Tamandua tetradactyla: one gene and its partner. The protein of the gene in region 2 interacts with the protein of the main gene of each other region in a biochemical or structural test. Links are inferred from orthologs where the notes say so. Each region holds a gene or a part of one and is shown on either strand. Other genes may lie near its edges.

Evidence for each region. The genes of interacting proteins can lie anywhere in the genome.
Region 1: the proteins of BCAR1 (region 2) and PTPN12 form a complex in vitro, tested with the Homo sapiens proteins (3 studies listed by BioGRID and IntAct, with this or other methods). The link is inferred for Tamandua tetradactyla from reciprocal best matches to the Homo sapiens genes BCAR1 and PTPN12.

The regions. Positions count from the first base shown.
Region 1 is NC_135327.1:140,471,619-140,479,545, reverse strand, and holds the start of PTPN12 (tyrosine-protein phosphatase non-receptor type 12), read left to right. Parts: upstream 1-4,921; 5' UTR 4,922-4,970; coding exon 4,971-5,069; intron 5,070-5,459; exon of another isoform or gene 5,460-5,591; intron 5,592-7,927. UniProt on the Homo sapiens protein: Dephosphorylates a range of proteins, and thereby regulates cellular signaling cascades. Dephosphorylates cellular tyrosine kinases, such as ERBB2 and PTK2B/PYK2, and thereby regulates signaling via ERBB2 and PTK2B/PYK2.
Region 2 is NC_135342.1:69,922,335-69,930,253, forward strand, and holds the start of BCAR1 (breast cancer anti-estrogen resistance protein 1), read right to left. Parts: upstream 3,014-7,919; 5' UTR 2,892-3,013; coding exon 2,880-2,891; intron 1-2,879. UniProt on the Homo sapiens protein: Docking protein which plays a central coordinating role for tyrosine kinase-based signaling related to cell adhesion. Implicated in induction of cell migration and cell branching. Involved in the BCAR3-mediated inhibition of TGFB signaling.

The DNA of each region.
Region 1 (7,927 bases), on a different chromosome or scaffold from region 2:
ATAAACATCAACTGAACCTATCCTGAGAAGCTATCAAGAAGTCAGGTTGCTCTGGAGATTCTCCAAATCTCTCCCATGGCCCCTTGGGTTATATCATGATATCTCCGTAGATCTCTGCATGCCTGCTTAATGCTTCTCTCTTAAGACTAACCAGTTTCTTTTTACTACTATATAGCTTCAGCTCTCACAAGGCTTCAGCCTGTAAGATCCCTAACTCTACTCAGTATACATTCAGCTTCTGCTGTTGTGGCTTAATGACGAATTCTATTTCAGTTTCTAAGTTCAGATTCTTAACAGTGAGAACTGATTGGTCCAGATCATCTTGCTGTACCAGGCCATAGCGTCGTAGCAAGTCTATATGGATTGGTTAACTTGGGCCAAGGGTCCAAATTGGCAGCTGTGGCTAAAGACAGGCAGGGTGATCAATTTTCCTGAGAAGAATGTTGTGGCCTAGGTAGACTATTCTGAAACTTAGCTTATCATATGCCATTTTAAAAACCTCTCAAACAAGATCTCTTTTTCCCTTTATTTGCCTATTTCCATGAATGATATTGCCATTCTCCCCATCACATGAACTGAAATTGTAATAATATTTTAATTAAACAGATTTAATTTTGTTGGAAAAATAATTCATGCACATAGTAAAATATTCAGAACATAAAAGGGTATACACACTGGTAATTGTCTCCATTCTTCCAAAGAGCCCCAAGGCCCCCCAGGGGCAACCACAGTTAACAGGTTTTTTAAAGTATCCTTCAGAAAAATTTTATGTCATGTTCAAGCATTTTAATCCACACTTTAATTTTACATAAATGGAAGAATACCATAAAACTATCTGTGCCTTGCTTTTCTCATATAACAAGTAGCTCTTGGGCCCTAATCCATATCAATATATGTAGATCTACTACAGTTTTTCTTTTTAACGGCATCACAAAACTTCATTGTATATATGTGATTTTTATCCAGTGCTTTTTCGATAGGAATGTTATTTCCAGTTTTGCCCTTACAAATAAGGCTGCAATAAGTACCTATGTTTGCACACACCTGATCTATAGGGTAAATTCTGATGAGAAATTTTGAGGTCAAAGCATGAATTAATAATTTTGATACATTTATTTCCAAGATGCCCTCCAAAGGTGTTGTGACAATTATTCTCATCTTCTGTGATGAGCATGCCCATTTTCTCCAACTTTCAAAAGTTTCGTGTTCTGCCAAACACTGTGATCTCTGCCAATTTGGTAATTTCAGTAACTTTAAATTTGATCTACTTTCTCTTAGTTACCTGGTTTTGTGAATGCTTCCAAAATGTCTCTCCTCTTCATCTGCCTTTGTATTTGTACTACTACAACTTTAGTTTCACTTTTGCTGCTTCATGTATTGACTCCTGATAGCTCATTCTATACTTTTCCATTATTAATTCCCAATTTAACAATAAATGATGCCAAATTAATATTTTACTAACTTGCATAATTTTACTTATATCCTTAGAAACCTTTGGTGGCTCCTAATGCCTACAGAGTTAAGTCCAAATCCCTTAACCAGGCATTCAATGCTTTTCAGAGTCCAGTCCATCTACTTTGGAACCTCTGTCCCCACACAAAAGTTCTGCTTCAAAATTTTGCTTTGCTGTCTTCATGCTTTTTGCCCCATCACTGCCCTTATTTGGACTTTTTCCTCCCTGGTCAAGCCTAATTTCACTTATCCTTCATGGTTAATCCTTCATCGTTAAACTCTTGGTTACTTTAAGTCATTCTCTGACAACCTAGTCCACAGTTCTCTCTCCTCAGACTTCTTGCTGCTCTCATGGTCTGTAGCATTCATTTGACATTTATTAACCTAGAGTAACCAAGAGTTTATTGTCTTTTCTATCATCTGAATTAAGATATTAACTCCTTAGGAGAAGGAGCCATCCCTAAAACATTTTTTGTCTCCCACATACACAGTATAATTCTTCCCATATTGAGGTGCTCAAAAAAAATACCTGTCTGTTAAAACAAGTCCTAAGTATATTAAACAGGAGAATAAACTAGCTAGATACCAAAGAAGTACACTGCTAATTCTTTCAAAAAAAGTAGAAATCCAAGAAGGTACTTCACATTTGTTTTCCCTAATCTACAGCAGATGGCAAAAGTGTCTGCTGAGAATTCACGAAACACTCAGGTGTTACTAGAGAGAGAAACTTTCCAATAAGAGGAAAATAAAAACAAAGGAAAAAAAATTAAGAAAAAACTCTAGTCAACGGACATTGGGAACTTCTCCTGGAGCTCGTGTGCTGTATTTGCTAAACAAGGATCACTGATGTTGTCTCCAATGCATCCAACAATGAGCTATCCACACCAAGACTCTGGTGAAGTATTGCATTGTGCTACTGACAGCACACTGTTAAGGTAGTGATATATGAGTCCCTCTATGCACTAACCCTGGGCTACAAAAAGGGGCCAAGCTGTCTTTTGAGGGGGAAGTGAGTTTAAACAAAAAGTGATCAAAGAAAATTCAGAAGAAATATGATGAAAGGAAAAAGATCAGCAGTGTTCTGTAGGGGCACTTCCAGCTGAAGAAGCCTCTTGCATGCACTGCTTCCAGGCCAGGCTGGTGTGGTGGAGCAGATGGCTTTGTGCTGGAAAGCAAGGAGCTGGAGTTCTATTTGAGGAAAATCAAAGTCTGGAAAGGCAAATAAATTCTCCTCTCTCCCATCCTACCTTATGTAATAAAGGTGTTTATTGTTCTTAAAACAACAACAAAAAAACTAGCCAAAATAGGACTCATGACCTCTGACAAGCAACACTTCTCATCAGACTGTCACTAGACTGATAAACAACTTCTTCAGCATAACTAGTCCTTTATCTATCTGGTTTGTACAGTCTTTGACATATCAAAAGTGGAGGCACGCTTGCTGATCTGCCTGCTTTTTTGTCATTTCTCTCTAAGTTCTGGGGGGGAGAAAAGAGAGTATCTACACTGAGTTATAATGTAAGATGATCAAGCTAGATCCTGACCTTTACCCACACCTGTGAAATCGAGTCTCAGTAATTGGTTGAAATAAAACACTCCAGATCCTTGTTTCAAATAATATCTACCTTAGAAATTAAACTACTTCTGTAAGTGATTTTTTTTTTTTTGGGGGGGGTGCATACTTCAGGAATCGAACCCGGGTCCCTCGCATGGAAGGTAGGCATTCTAACCACTAAAATACCCGTGCACCCTAAGTGAATTTTTAAAATACAAAACTATATCTTTTTTACATGCATATAAATGCATGAGAAGAGATTTGGAAGAGCACACAACTTCTAAGTGCATACTTCTGGGGAGGGGTTGCATTAGTTGATTTTTTTTTTAAAGATAAAAATTTTTCTTTAACAAAAGGAAACTGTATCTTATTACTCTCACTTATCTTCTTCAAAGAGTTTCTCATTAAATTCCATGATGCCTCTAAACATTCATTTGGGAAAAATGACCTGCCACTGTTATTTCTTATTTAACCCAATTTTCTGAGTAATCCGATCTGTAAAGAATGTTGTTTGAGGGTTTAAATGACCAAAATACGTCCACGGATCTAATCCTTCACTTTTGTCACATTATCACAAGTTCGCATTGCTTAGAGGCAATATGGTATCGTAATGAAAGCAAAAGGACTTGAGTTCTAGTGTTATAGCTCTGGTAAGAACATGCTGGAGGCCCCTTAGTAAATCACTTTATTTGGTGAGTTAGACCAGAATGGATAACCTCTGGTTACTAGAATTTTAAAGACGTACAAAGACTTATAAAGTCTATTCTATGGAGAAAGTCTCTCATGCAGTTCTAAAATGCTGTCAATTTAAAAAGACGACAGGTTCCTTTAAACTTAGTAAACAGTGAGCCCCTACGACATGCATGGTATACATTAGGACGCATTACGATTCTCAGGCGCTCACTTGCCAGAGCTTAGGTGGATTTGTGAAGAGAAAATCCTTTCAATCAAGAAGCGTTTCGCTTCTCTTAGCCGTAAGAATCCTCCAAAGTCTTAGGTTGTTAAGGCCTTATAACAGTGAAGGCAACATACCTGCTGTGAACGTGGAAATGGCATTACTACAGTTCCCAGCATGCCTCTTTCCACCCCCGCCCCTGGAAGCCAGCAGGCCCGGACTTAAAACGGTGGCGGAGCCAGCGTCGAAGCATTCTTGTAGTAATCTGCTTCCCCCCGCCCTCTGCCCTGAGTAAGCGGTGAGATCGCAAGCTCTAATTAACATCATACTCCAACCCATGAGACTTAGTCCTAAGAAGAGTTCCCTCCTATAGGGTAACCAACACTCTTTTAAGGTTTTCTCAGACCTGGGCGCTACCGGGACGGGGCCACGCCCCGGAAGTGGAGTCGGGTCGCTCACCAGATCGCCGAAGTTCCTTCCAGCCACTCCAAGCCGAGCCGCGGCGCTGGGCGGGCCTGGGGGCGTGGCCTTGGAGGTGGGGCGAGCGGGGGCGTAGCAGCGCGGCGCGGCGCTTGGGGCGGAGCCGCGGTGCGGGGCCGCGCGTTTGGGTGGCGGCGGGGGCGCGCCGTGGGGTAGAGTCGGCTGTCGCTGCTAGTGGTAGTGGTAGTGGTGGTGGTGGTGGTGCGGGGGGAGGAGAAACTGGGGACGGGGGGAGTAGGGCGAGCGCAGAGCGGTGTTCCTGAGGCGGTGGCGGCGTCTCCGGAGGAGGAGGAGGGCGGGGAAGGAGGATGGAGCAAGCTGGGGGCTGGGGCTGGCGCTAGCCGCAGCACCTCGGCTCGTTACTGTGGGAAAGCGGCGACTGCTCCTGGAAGTTGTGTCGGGAGCCCGGCCGGGTGCCGCCGCTGCGTCCCCTAGGGCGGTGGGGAGGAGGAGCGGCGGGGATTGGCGGGGGTCGGGAGGGAGGAGACGCGCAGCGGGAGCGAGCTGGGGAAGACGGAGCGGGCTCTGCGCCGGGCGGGCGGGCGGCGGCGGGGGGGCCAGCGACCGCAGCCAGGGGGACGCGGGAGGATGGAGCAAGTGGAGATCCTGAGGAAATTCATCCAGAGGGTCCAGGCCATGAAGAGTCCGGACCACAATGGGGAGGACAACTTCGCCCGGGACTTCATGGTGAGTCTCTCACCTCGCTGTCGGCTCCTCTCGAGGCCACTGAAGCCCACCGCAGCCTCGCCGGGCCGGCCCGAGCCGCCAGCGCTTTGTGTGCTGCTGTGAGGAGAGGGGCAGAGGGGGCGCGCACCAACCCCAGGGGCCGTCTTGGCCGGGAGCCCGGCGGGAGGTGATACTGCCTCCGCCCCTAGGTCTCCTTTCCCCCTCTCCCGCGTTCGCGGCCCCTTCCGCGGGCTTCTGAGGCGCGAAGGGAGCGGCCGCTGGGCCGAGTCCTAACCCGGCACCGTTTCCTGCGACCACCTATTGTTTCTCGGGCCTGGAGCCGGAGGCGAGTGAGGTGCTGACCGAGAGGACTTGCCTTTCCACACCTCCCCACCTAGCCTGCCCTTCCCAGGAGGGTCGAGGCAGAGTGTCGGGCTGTGTCCGGGGTGGGGAACCGATCCGGCTGATGGAGGTACCAGATTGTTGAGGTCGGCGTTAACTCGTGGGGTCATTTTGCCCAAGCAAGTCTCAGAGGTGGGCAAGGTAGGACTTCTGCCTTGTCTGGGTTCGCAGTTAATGTCCAACGCTTGCAAAAAGGTTTTCCATAAGGAAATCGGGGTTCTTATAATTTTCCATTTATCCCGGTCCCATCTCTCCTCTCCTGAGACCCAAGTTTGAGGTGGTCTTAGGATCCGTTTGACTTTAGGTTGGGGGGGGGGAGTGTGTGCGTGTGTGTGGGGGTATCCTGAAGGAAGCCTACTTCGGACACCCTAGGGGATATTGCCAAAGGCGGAGGGGATGTGACTATCACTTCCTATCCGGGGTGGGGGTGGGGAGCTTGGGAACAATAGTTCTGGCGGGGCGGAGGCGACTATCTGGGCTGAAGCCCTGAACTGGGAGATAACCTTCTCAGCCCCCCGCCCCTTTCCGCCTGCTGCTCCTGCGGGCGGGCTTATGAGGTGAGGGTTAAAGTCTTGTTCGTGAACTTGCTCTACGATACTTCGCTGTGAGGGGAGGCAGATCCGAAGGCGTGGGACCAGAAGTCGACTTCCTATACTACATCCCCCCACCCTCCACCTTTTATTTTTCTGCTGGACAATGTTCCCTCTAGGGTTGTTTCCCGGTTTTGGAGGCGGTGGTTGTGGCTATTGCTCCTACGGATATTGCGCAAGACTGGGGCGTTGGAAACCCTGGAGGTCTGGGGATGGAAAAGGAAGTGGGACTTTGGGAAGTGGTTGCTTCTTAGCCTTGGCGGGGGTTGGGGATGGGAAATAAGCCGGGGAAAATTTAGCCTCTGGATGAGGTACACCTCCGAGAATAATCCTTTAACTCCGAAATTCGATTATAAAAAAGATACGGAGCTCAGGTGTAGAAAAATGAATGGGCAGCTGACATTGGCTGGTTTTTGTTTCAAAGTACAGTTGTTTTCAAGGTGCAGGTGAAGTGACATTTAGTACTGAAATACTTTATAACATTTTAAAAAGACTTTAGTCTAGAAGCTTTAGCGTTAAAATTGTTCAATTTATAAAATAGATCCTTGACCTTACATAGTATTATAATATTGTTGAGCTTTGTGATTCCTACTTCTCCAGGTAAGTAGTAGAGGACAGGAATAAGGTTTTGTTAGTATCTTTTGAAGACTGAAAGACAGAAATTAAATAATTTGATTATGTGTTATTTGAGACATTTTCTCTTGCTATGTAACCTAAATATTTTTGAAATATTACTTTTGATCTGAAGGGGGTAAAGAAAGGAGTATTTTCTCCCCTAACTCATGAGAATTTTTATTTGTTGATATATTTCAGGTGTCATTTTCAGTAATTGGTTGGTGTTCCCTTTTTATTATTCTCTAGCAAAAATAGAAGAAAATATTTACTTGGAATATTTAAAACATTGTAAACTTAAGTCTTGGAAGACTAGATGGTATAGACCTTGACTGGCCACTTGTTTGCATTCTAGCCATATTGTTTTCCCTGGATGCTCTATCCTGTCAGAAAAGAGCATTGTTTGGTTTGATGATGCAGGCCAGGACAGGTGTGCAGACTGTGAGCTACTGTACAGGGGACTTAGCCTTAGGATTCGTGCTTTAGGGATGAATCAGGAATTCTTATTGGAGATTTCATTCCTTGAGGATTAAATAAGTTTCCTTTTTATTCCATAATACCTAGAAATAGCTAGGTGATTCTGCATTTGAGATTTGATAACTGAGGCTATTCTTACACAGTGTTGTGTGTGTGTGTGTGTGTGTGTGTGTGTGTTGGGGGGGAATTACCTGACTTATAGTTTAAGCAATAAGCTATAATTAAGGCTGTACATAGTGCCATTTTTTCCTTTGACTAAAAAGCTGGAGAAAGACATCTCCCTACCTCTGTCCCTTTGTCATGGAAACAGAATAGAGGGTAGGGCTCATATTCTGTGGTGTTATTCTAAATTCTAATGCAAATCAGAAATTGTTTTTAAATTTACTTTGAATATTGAAAACATCTTAAACTGAAGTCTTATTATGGTTATGGAAGAATAAATGCTATAGACCTTTAGCATTTTAGAACTGAAAGAGGTCATAGAGGTTATCTAGCTATTACAACCCCGTTCCATTATAATATTGCTTATTATTTCAGATTTACAAATTATAGAATAACAATTAGTTATGTCTTATGCTTAGAAAAGTAGCATACCAGCTCTGTCTGACTACCCAGTCTTTCTATAGTCTACCCGACTACCTCTGATAATGTTTTTAGTGCTTCCATGTGTCAATACTACATATACCATTATATGTTATTCATTACCTAATATTTTGGTAAATTTTTTTATTAATGCAACTGCTTTGTAAAAATTTTAAATGGAGTATAATATTTCATCTGATGATTTATTATACCACA
Region 2 (7,919 bases):
CAGCCTTCCAGTAGCCTTGGCCTCTGCTGAGAGTCACAGGCCACAGCCTGTGAGATGCCACGCAGGATGACAGTCACAGAGACTTTGGACTCTGCAAGACTTGGTTCCCTCCCAGTGTGACCCTGGCAAGACGCACGTTCTCCCTAAACCCAGGAGGCACTTGGCCAACACCAGGCACTCAGGATGTGCTCCACTAGCTCAAGACCTCTCACGTGTGAAAGGGCCTAACCCCCATATAAGAAAAGAGCGGAGCAGGGACTGGAATGGCCAAATCCATTTCACAGACAGGAAACAAGAGGCAGGAAGAGAAGCAAGGGGATGTTTCTGCAGTGCCAGGGGAAAGCAGCTTGACAGTGCCAGGGGCAGCCATCATTTTGCCACTCCTCACAAGGATTCCAAGCCAATGCTGGCCAGGGTTCTAAGGTGGTGGGAGGTATAGCCATTTCCTTTCAAATGTTTCCTGCCTGCCTGGAGAGAAGAGACAGACCTAGGATGTCAGGCAGCTATCCCGAGAGGAGCCAGAATCAGGCAGCAGCCAGTAAGTGAGTCTGCAGGCAACAGGCAGAAGATAGGGCACTGAGCAGGGGCACCTTCCCCTCTCTGGGCCTCAGATTCCAACTGGTTCAAATAACAGCGTCATGTTCTAGCAGGCAGGGGGTCAACTTGGCCCCCTCCCAACCTTTTCTCTCCCTGCCATCACCTCCCTCCCTGTCCCATTCTGAAGCACCTTGTAATTTCTGTGGTCCAAATTGCCTGCGTCAGTACCATCCAGAAAAAGCCTGCCCAAATGAACGGGTGTGCTTAAAACCCACACGTGTCTGTGGACACCACAAGGGCAGTCACCATCATGGCTATGAAAACAAAGCTGAGCAGGCGACTCAGCCTGGAAGCCTCCCCGGGGCAAATTCAGCACATAAAAAGCAATTTTCAGAACATTTCACGGTTGCTCCATAAACGAACTTCTCCTGGTCCCACTGCTCAGACACTGCCCAAAGTCTGAAGAAAAGAGCCAGGGTGATCTGACAGTCCAGCCACACAGGGGGCAGATGGTGAGTCCTTGCCCACCCCCCCACCCCCCACCCCTGTAGGTTGTGGCTGCAGGTGGGAGGGTGGGAACTGGGCGGAGTAAGGGGTGGGGGTGGGGCGAGTAAACCACAGCTGCTGGCCTCCACAATGGTGCTTGTCTGTCCAAGTCACAAGCGGACCCTGGCCCTCCCAACCCACCCCTCTCTGAAGGGGCCTCTGAGGCACAGAGTCGAGGAGGACTCCCAAAGTTCTGTAAGACAAGGGGTCTGGGTGCCAGAGTCCTGTCCAATGCTCTGCAATGACCGTGAACAACGAAACCAAGTCCCACTCCTGCCTCCCAAACAGAGGCCAGCCAGGCTCGATATGGTCCTGGTCCCAATTTACCCTGAGTCACATTCCTGCCCACTTCCCTGGACACCAATGCCCTCCAGCAGGCTCAAGTCATCCACCTCCTCTCTCTGGCCAGTGCCCAGGGGCAAGGGGAGCTCCCCTGAGACCCTGGGCCAGGGGAGACCCACAGTAAGAAAGCAGAGCAGGGGAGAAGAAGGGCTTGGCAGGCATTTCTAAAGATGAAGCAATTACGCTCTGAACCAGAACAGATGGGGGGTAGGGCTTTCACATCAGCACGGCCTGGAAGCCCTAATTTTTTCATCTGTAACTGTGCATTACTGCTCCTGGAGGCAGACAGGAGCTGAGATCTTTAATTCCATAATAACAATGCTTTGCACTTACATCCAATAATCTCCACACACTCTATTGTGGTTAATTAAGAGGCCAATCTATCCTGCCAGAAAGTCCCAACTACCTGCTCTACCTTAAGGATGGGGTTCCCCAGGAGGCGAGCAGCCCTAGAAACAAGGCGAGGGTCTACCTGGTGCTCTGGCCCACTGCCCTTAGGGAGTGAGAGAAAAGCCGCTAGCTCCAGGAGAAACAATGGCTGGAGGCCCCAGCCCCAACATGCAGCAGCACCCCTTCAGGCCAGCCCTGGGTCTGCCTCCCACCTCAGTCTGTCCATCTGTAAAGCGGGTTGGGGCGAGGGCCTGAGGCCTGGTCATCCAGGGTCACCAAAGTTCTCACTGGAGACCACCTCTCCGGCCAGCCAGGCCATGGAAAACGGGTTGTCAGGCAGGAAGAGAAGCGCCCATGGCTACAGGGAACAAGAGACTGACTGGGTCCTGCATCCCGGGGTTCAGGGACTCCCAGGAAACTTCCCAGGAAAGTGAGTGCAGCAGCCTTCCTGGGGGAAGGGTGGGGGAGCATGAACCCCCAACGGCCAAGCCCGGAGGGAGCGGAGTGGTCCAAGGGGAGAAGTAACCACCCCGGCCCAGGCCTGACCATCTCGGTGGGTCCCTGGAAGACAGTACGGCTGTCACCCAGGCGTTTTCCTGGGGGAGAGCACGGACATCTCCCCAACCCCCCGGCCCAGCTGTCCCGTAGGGGGTCTCGGAGAGGCGAACGGACCCCACCCCCACCTCCACACAAGGCCTGGCTATCCTGGTGGGGACTCCTGGGGGCAGCACAGATCCCCGCGGGGGACAGTTGTTCCCGGGATTTCCCAAGGGCGCGGAGCCCAGACCCACAACAGGCCCGGCCATTCTGACGGGAAAGGGGGTCTCCAAGGAGACAGTGCAGACCCCAGCCCTCCTGAGAGAATAGTGGAAGGAAGGGGCACAGAAGCCGCCGGCTTGGGGGAGACGCCCCCGCCTAACCGTGCCCCGCCCGTGGGGGCCCAGGTCCCGCGAGCGCCTGTCGGGGGACCCCGCGGCACTAGGCCTGCAGCGGGCGGCGCGAGGTCCACAGGCCCGGCCGGGGACAGGGGTGACTCGGAGTCCCGGCTGGCGGTCGGTACTCACCGGCACGGACATCTTGGCCCCAGTCGGGGCACCGGCTTGAGCAGCGGCGCCGGCAGGCTGGGGGCTCGGGTCCGCCTGCACGGCTCAGACGCCCCCGCGGCGCGGAGTCCCGGCGCTTTCCCGGCTCCCCGCCGGCTCCTGCGCGCTCCCGGGGGCCGGACGGTCCGGCCTCGCTAGCCTGCGCTGCGCATGCGCCGCCCGCGCCGCCCCTCCCCCTCCAGCCTCCTTCGCCGAGGACCGCGTTAAAGGCGAGGACCCCGGCCCCTGGCATTTTTCCGTCGGCCCAACGCGGCTCAGAGCGCCCTGGCTCCCCGCCCCTTGCCCATCCTCCAGGGCCCTCTCCAACAGCACCACCTCCTGTTCGCCGCTCCGGTTCTGGGTGCCGAAAGCCCCACTCTCCACATTGCACATCCCAGGGGGCGGGGCGCCTGCCCTGTGACTTTGACCAGGTTCGCAGACTATGCGTCTGGAATCAGACAGGGGATGCTCTCGTTCCGGCTGAAGGCAACTGCAGATCAGTAGAGCTGGGCTCCGAGAAGCCCCCACTCCCCGTTGAAAGGGGGCCCGAGATCCCCAGTACAGTCCCTAAGCGGCGCTGCCCGGGGTCCCCTGCTGCGCCCACCCCACCCGCACCCCCACGCTCGCCATGGGAAGCTCCTGCCCCCGGGAATAGCTTTGCCCATCCGAGATCTGTCTCCTGGGACCTCCGCCCACGAGCCACCCACACAGCCCTCCAGACACTGAAAGATGAACGTGTGCAGACCTGGGCCCTCCCTTCCCCAAGTTAAACACCCCCAATTCCTTCCACCGTTCCGCATCCAAACACTGGACCTGCTAAACTCCGCACAGGCACCTGACCTGTGTTCGCTCTCATCTCCCCACCTCCCTGCCAGGCAGGCCTTGCTGTTCCCTTGTTATGTTGTAGACTCTGAGGCTCCTCAGAGGTCCCTCGGCTACGGAAAGGCAGAACCTGGCGTCTGTCCTTGCTCCATGGGGGCCCTTCCTGGGTGCCCTTGAATGCCCAGCGAGCCCTGGTCCAGGGAAATGGTCGCTGCTGCTTTGGGAGACCCGCAGGTTATGCCCTGCAGGGGAGGGAGGGAGCGCCTATGAGTTCCTAGACCGGGGGCCTGGGGGGCCAGGCAGTGTCCAGGGAGGACATGCAGGAGCTGGCTGAGGGGTGGGCAGAGAGCCCCAGCCCCTGGGAAATCTGTCACACTCGGCTGCAGGGGGGGCACAAGCTGTTTTGTCTGCCAGGGGTGCAAGTGCAAGGAGGTCCAAGATGACTGAGCAGGGGAAGCAGAGACAGGTGGCAGGGGGCTTCCTCAGAGGTTCCCTAGACCTTAAAATTCACCATTAGCTAGTCGTCCACTGGATTTTAAAAGGTTTTCCAGCTTCTTCCCCAAGGGAGGACTGCCTTGGTCCTCCCCTAGTTCCATCCTGGGGAGGCTCCTTAAGAGTAGCCACCAGCATTGGCAGGGGTGGGGGTGGGGGGATAGGGAGCAGGTGGCCGGGTATAAGATGAGCTAAAAAGGGGAAATTGAGGTCTACCACTGACCCTGGTTCTAGAACTGATGAGCCAGGGTTCCTCCCTGCTCTGATTGATCAGGGATCTCCCCCTTTAAAGGGGGTCCCCAAATGTATACCGCAGTGTCCCTAGCCCAGCAGTCGTCCAGGACTTGCTGGAGGGGGCAGGCAGGGCCACAGCAGACAGGGAGGGGACCAGGCCCACAGCTGCCACCTCCTCAAAGGGTGCTCTGTGTGTATCTGGCACGCAGCCCTGCCCGTGCCCACCCGCCTGCATCCAGCTGGCACGGGACTCCTCAGCTGAGAGCAGCAGTGCAGCCTGGCGCCCGGGCGCCCCGCCACACATGCTGGCCCTCTCCAAGCTCCTCCTCCAGCCCCCCATCCCCCAGCCTCCCAGGCTCAGCCTCCCTTTCTGTGGTGGCTCTCTCATCACCCACCGTTTTGGATTCCTTCTCTCCCGTCTCTAGTTGCCCCAGGCCAGAAAGGGATGAGGGGTGGGCAAAACCCCTTCTGCACCCTGGATACAGTGGCAGGGTGCAGCCGGGACCGAGACCTCGAAGCCATCTAGTCCTGGCCTCCACCTCCCCCCCCCCCACGGGGCTGCTCACTGGGGGAAGGGCATCACTGACTCAGCCCTTAGTGCAGGGAGAGGGGACCCTCAGCGGAGGGGGAGAGGCGGCTTATGGGGTTGGGGTCAACCAGAGAAGCCTCCTGGGGGTCCTGGGCGCCTGCCCTGACGCTAAGAGCCTGTAAAGGCGGGGTCTGCTCCCCCCACACCCTCTCCAGGAAGGCAAATGATCCCAGGCTGGCTCACTCAGGAGTGCAGAGGCTCTTGGGCCCTCAGGCTGGCAGTTCTGGCCAGAACCAAGAGAGGGGCTGCCTGAGCTGGCCCCAGCACGCTGAGAGGGTCCCTGAGAGCTGAGGGGGCCCCAGGGTGGCGGGGGTCTGTTCCTGACAATAACTGGGAGAGAAGGGAATTTGGACACAGCTGGAAAACGAATCACGCAGGGGCAAACTTTACATTCAGCTCTCCTCTGGACACCAAGGCTGGGCCGCTGTATCCTGGGCCTTGAGGTATCTAAAGGGGCCAAGGGTCAGGAGGTGGCTCCTTCTACCCCATTCTCCTCCCCAGGGTAACCAGGACTTCTCAGTATAGGGGCCTCTGGCCCAGGAGACCTTTGAGGTCCCTCCTGGGCGCCGAGGGCACAGGGATGTGGAGGTCAAGCTGTCTGCCTGGTGGAACTGACAGACCATGGAGGAGAGAAGTGTGGGCTTCCCAGAGCCCACTGAACATGAGGACCTTGGAAGCTGGGACAAAGGGACCCTTGAGGGCTGTGAAGACTTCCTGGAAGAGGGGGCCTGCCCTGCACTCTGAAAGGCAGGCAGTTTCTCATTCTTGGCCACATAGAGTAGGGTCCTAAACTCATGGAGTAGGGTCCTAAACACAGGTGCATATAGGGGGCCAGGTGGGGAACAGCACTGAGAGAGACCCAGTATAGGGTGATAGGGAGGGGTGGGGACTGGGGCAGAGAGAGCAGCTGCTGCCCAGCTCAGCTCCAGTTACTGAGATGTGGGAATTCAGGCTTGGCGCGGTGCATCAGATCCTTTTGTTTGTTTGTTTAATAAAATTTTATTTTAGAATAGTTTTAGATCTACAAAACAATTACAGTAGTACAGAGTTCCCATATGCCTCATACCCAGTTAGTCCTATTATTGACATCTTACATTACTCTGATACATTTTTCACAATTAGTGAACCAATATTGCTATACTATTATTAACTAAAGTCCATTCTTTATTTCAATTTCCTTAGTTTCCCCTAATGTGCCTCTTCTGTTGCAAGATGCCATCCGATACCACCTTACATTTAGTTGTGTTGCCTCCTGGACTCCTCTCGGTGGCATCATTTTGCAGACTTCTTTGTTTTGGTGACCTTGGCAATTCTGAGGAACACTGGGCAGGGGGATTGTAGAATATCCCTCGGTTGAGATTTGTCTGGTGTGTCTCTCATGATCAGAGTGAGGTTGTGGGTTTTACGAGGCAGATCACAGAGGCAAAGGGCTGTTCTCAAGAATACCTGCTATCACCATGGCTTAGCCCAGCTGATGCTGACCTTGACCGCCTGGCTAAGGTGGGATTTGCCAGGTTCCTCCACTGAAAAGTTACTCTCCCCCCACCTCTTTTTTCTTATGATGCCCTTTGGAAGGAAGTCACTTGTGCAGTCTATGCTTGAGAAAGTGGGAAATTACATGCCATCTCCTTGAGGGTGGAACGTCTACATCAATTGTTTGAAACACTTCTGCAGGGGAATTTTTTTTTCTTCTCTTCCATTTCTTTTTTCAATCATTTTTTATGTCAGTAAGGACCACAGATATTTATTTTGCATTTTGAATTACACTCCAATTCTGTTTCGTTTTTTTTAAATTCAAATTGTGCCAGCTTTGGCCATTGGCTGCTCTTTCCGTTGGCAAGTCTGATTTTTTAAGATAATCTAGAAATCCAGATCGTTTCTTAACATCTCTGGATTTTGTAATGTTAACTGAGCAGGCCAACTCCAGGCAGCTCTGGGCTCTGGATGTCTCCTCTGAATCCTGCTCCATGGCTTGCCGCTGAATGCCATTGTGCATATGAGTTAATAACCTGAGACTGTTTCCTCACTGATTTACTCACGGTTTTGAGGCTAAGAGAAAGTCCAAATCAAGGCACCGACAAGGCAATGCTTTCTCCCCGAAGACTGTGGGGTTCCAGGGCTGTCTCCCACCCCCCAGCCCCCGTGTGGGCCCCCACACTGGCCAGCGCGGGAATCTTCTTGCTCAGTGCAAGCAGCATGCCCTGTTTGTGGGAATAGCTACAAATGACACAGGCAGATCAGCAAGATGAGGCCCAAACCCCCAGCATAAACGAACTCTTTGACCCAGAAATTCCAGAAATTTATTCTTAAAAAAGTGCACTAAAATGGAGCCAAAGACACACATACCAGGATATTACTTGCAGCACTGCTTACGATATGGAAAGCTTGGAAAGAACTCACAGATTCAATAACGGGGACCAGTTTAAATCATGGACCATCACGCAGCAGAATCCTGGGCAGCCCTTGGCAACAATAGGGAGCCCTAGGGAAGACATGGTAATGTGTACAGTGTATTGTTAAGCGTGGAAAAAAATAGGCTTCCAAACAATAGGTACAGTAAGAGTCTATTTTCATAAAAATTTACATATCTACATTTATAATATATATTTGCATTGGGAAAGACACCAGAATATCACCTGTGGCCGTTTTGGGGATGAGGTAGGATTCTTTTTCACCAGTGTGTGATATTTAGGGAGGGCCTATTGGGTCCTTAACACTGAGCTGGCTTCCAAATAAGTACTGCCTTTCCCCAGTCTTTATTGGTTAGAATTTCACTAGTGTCTTTTGTTTTCTTTGGTGGAGGATGGGGGAGTGGCTTTGGTGTAATCAAAATTATTTTCTCTATTTTTCTAATGTTTCTAAAATGAACATTCACTACTTACATA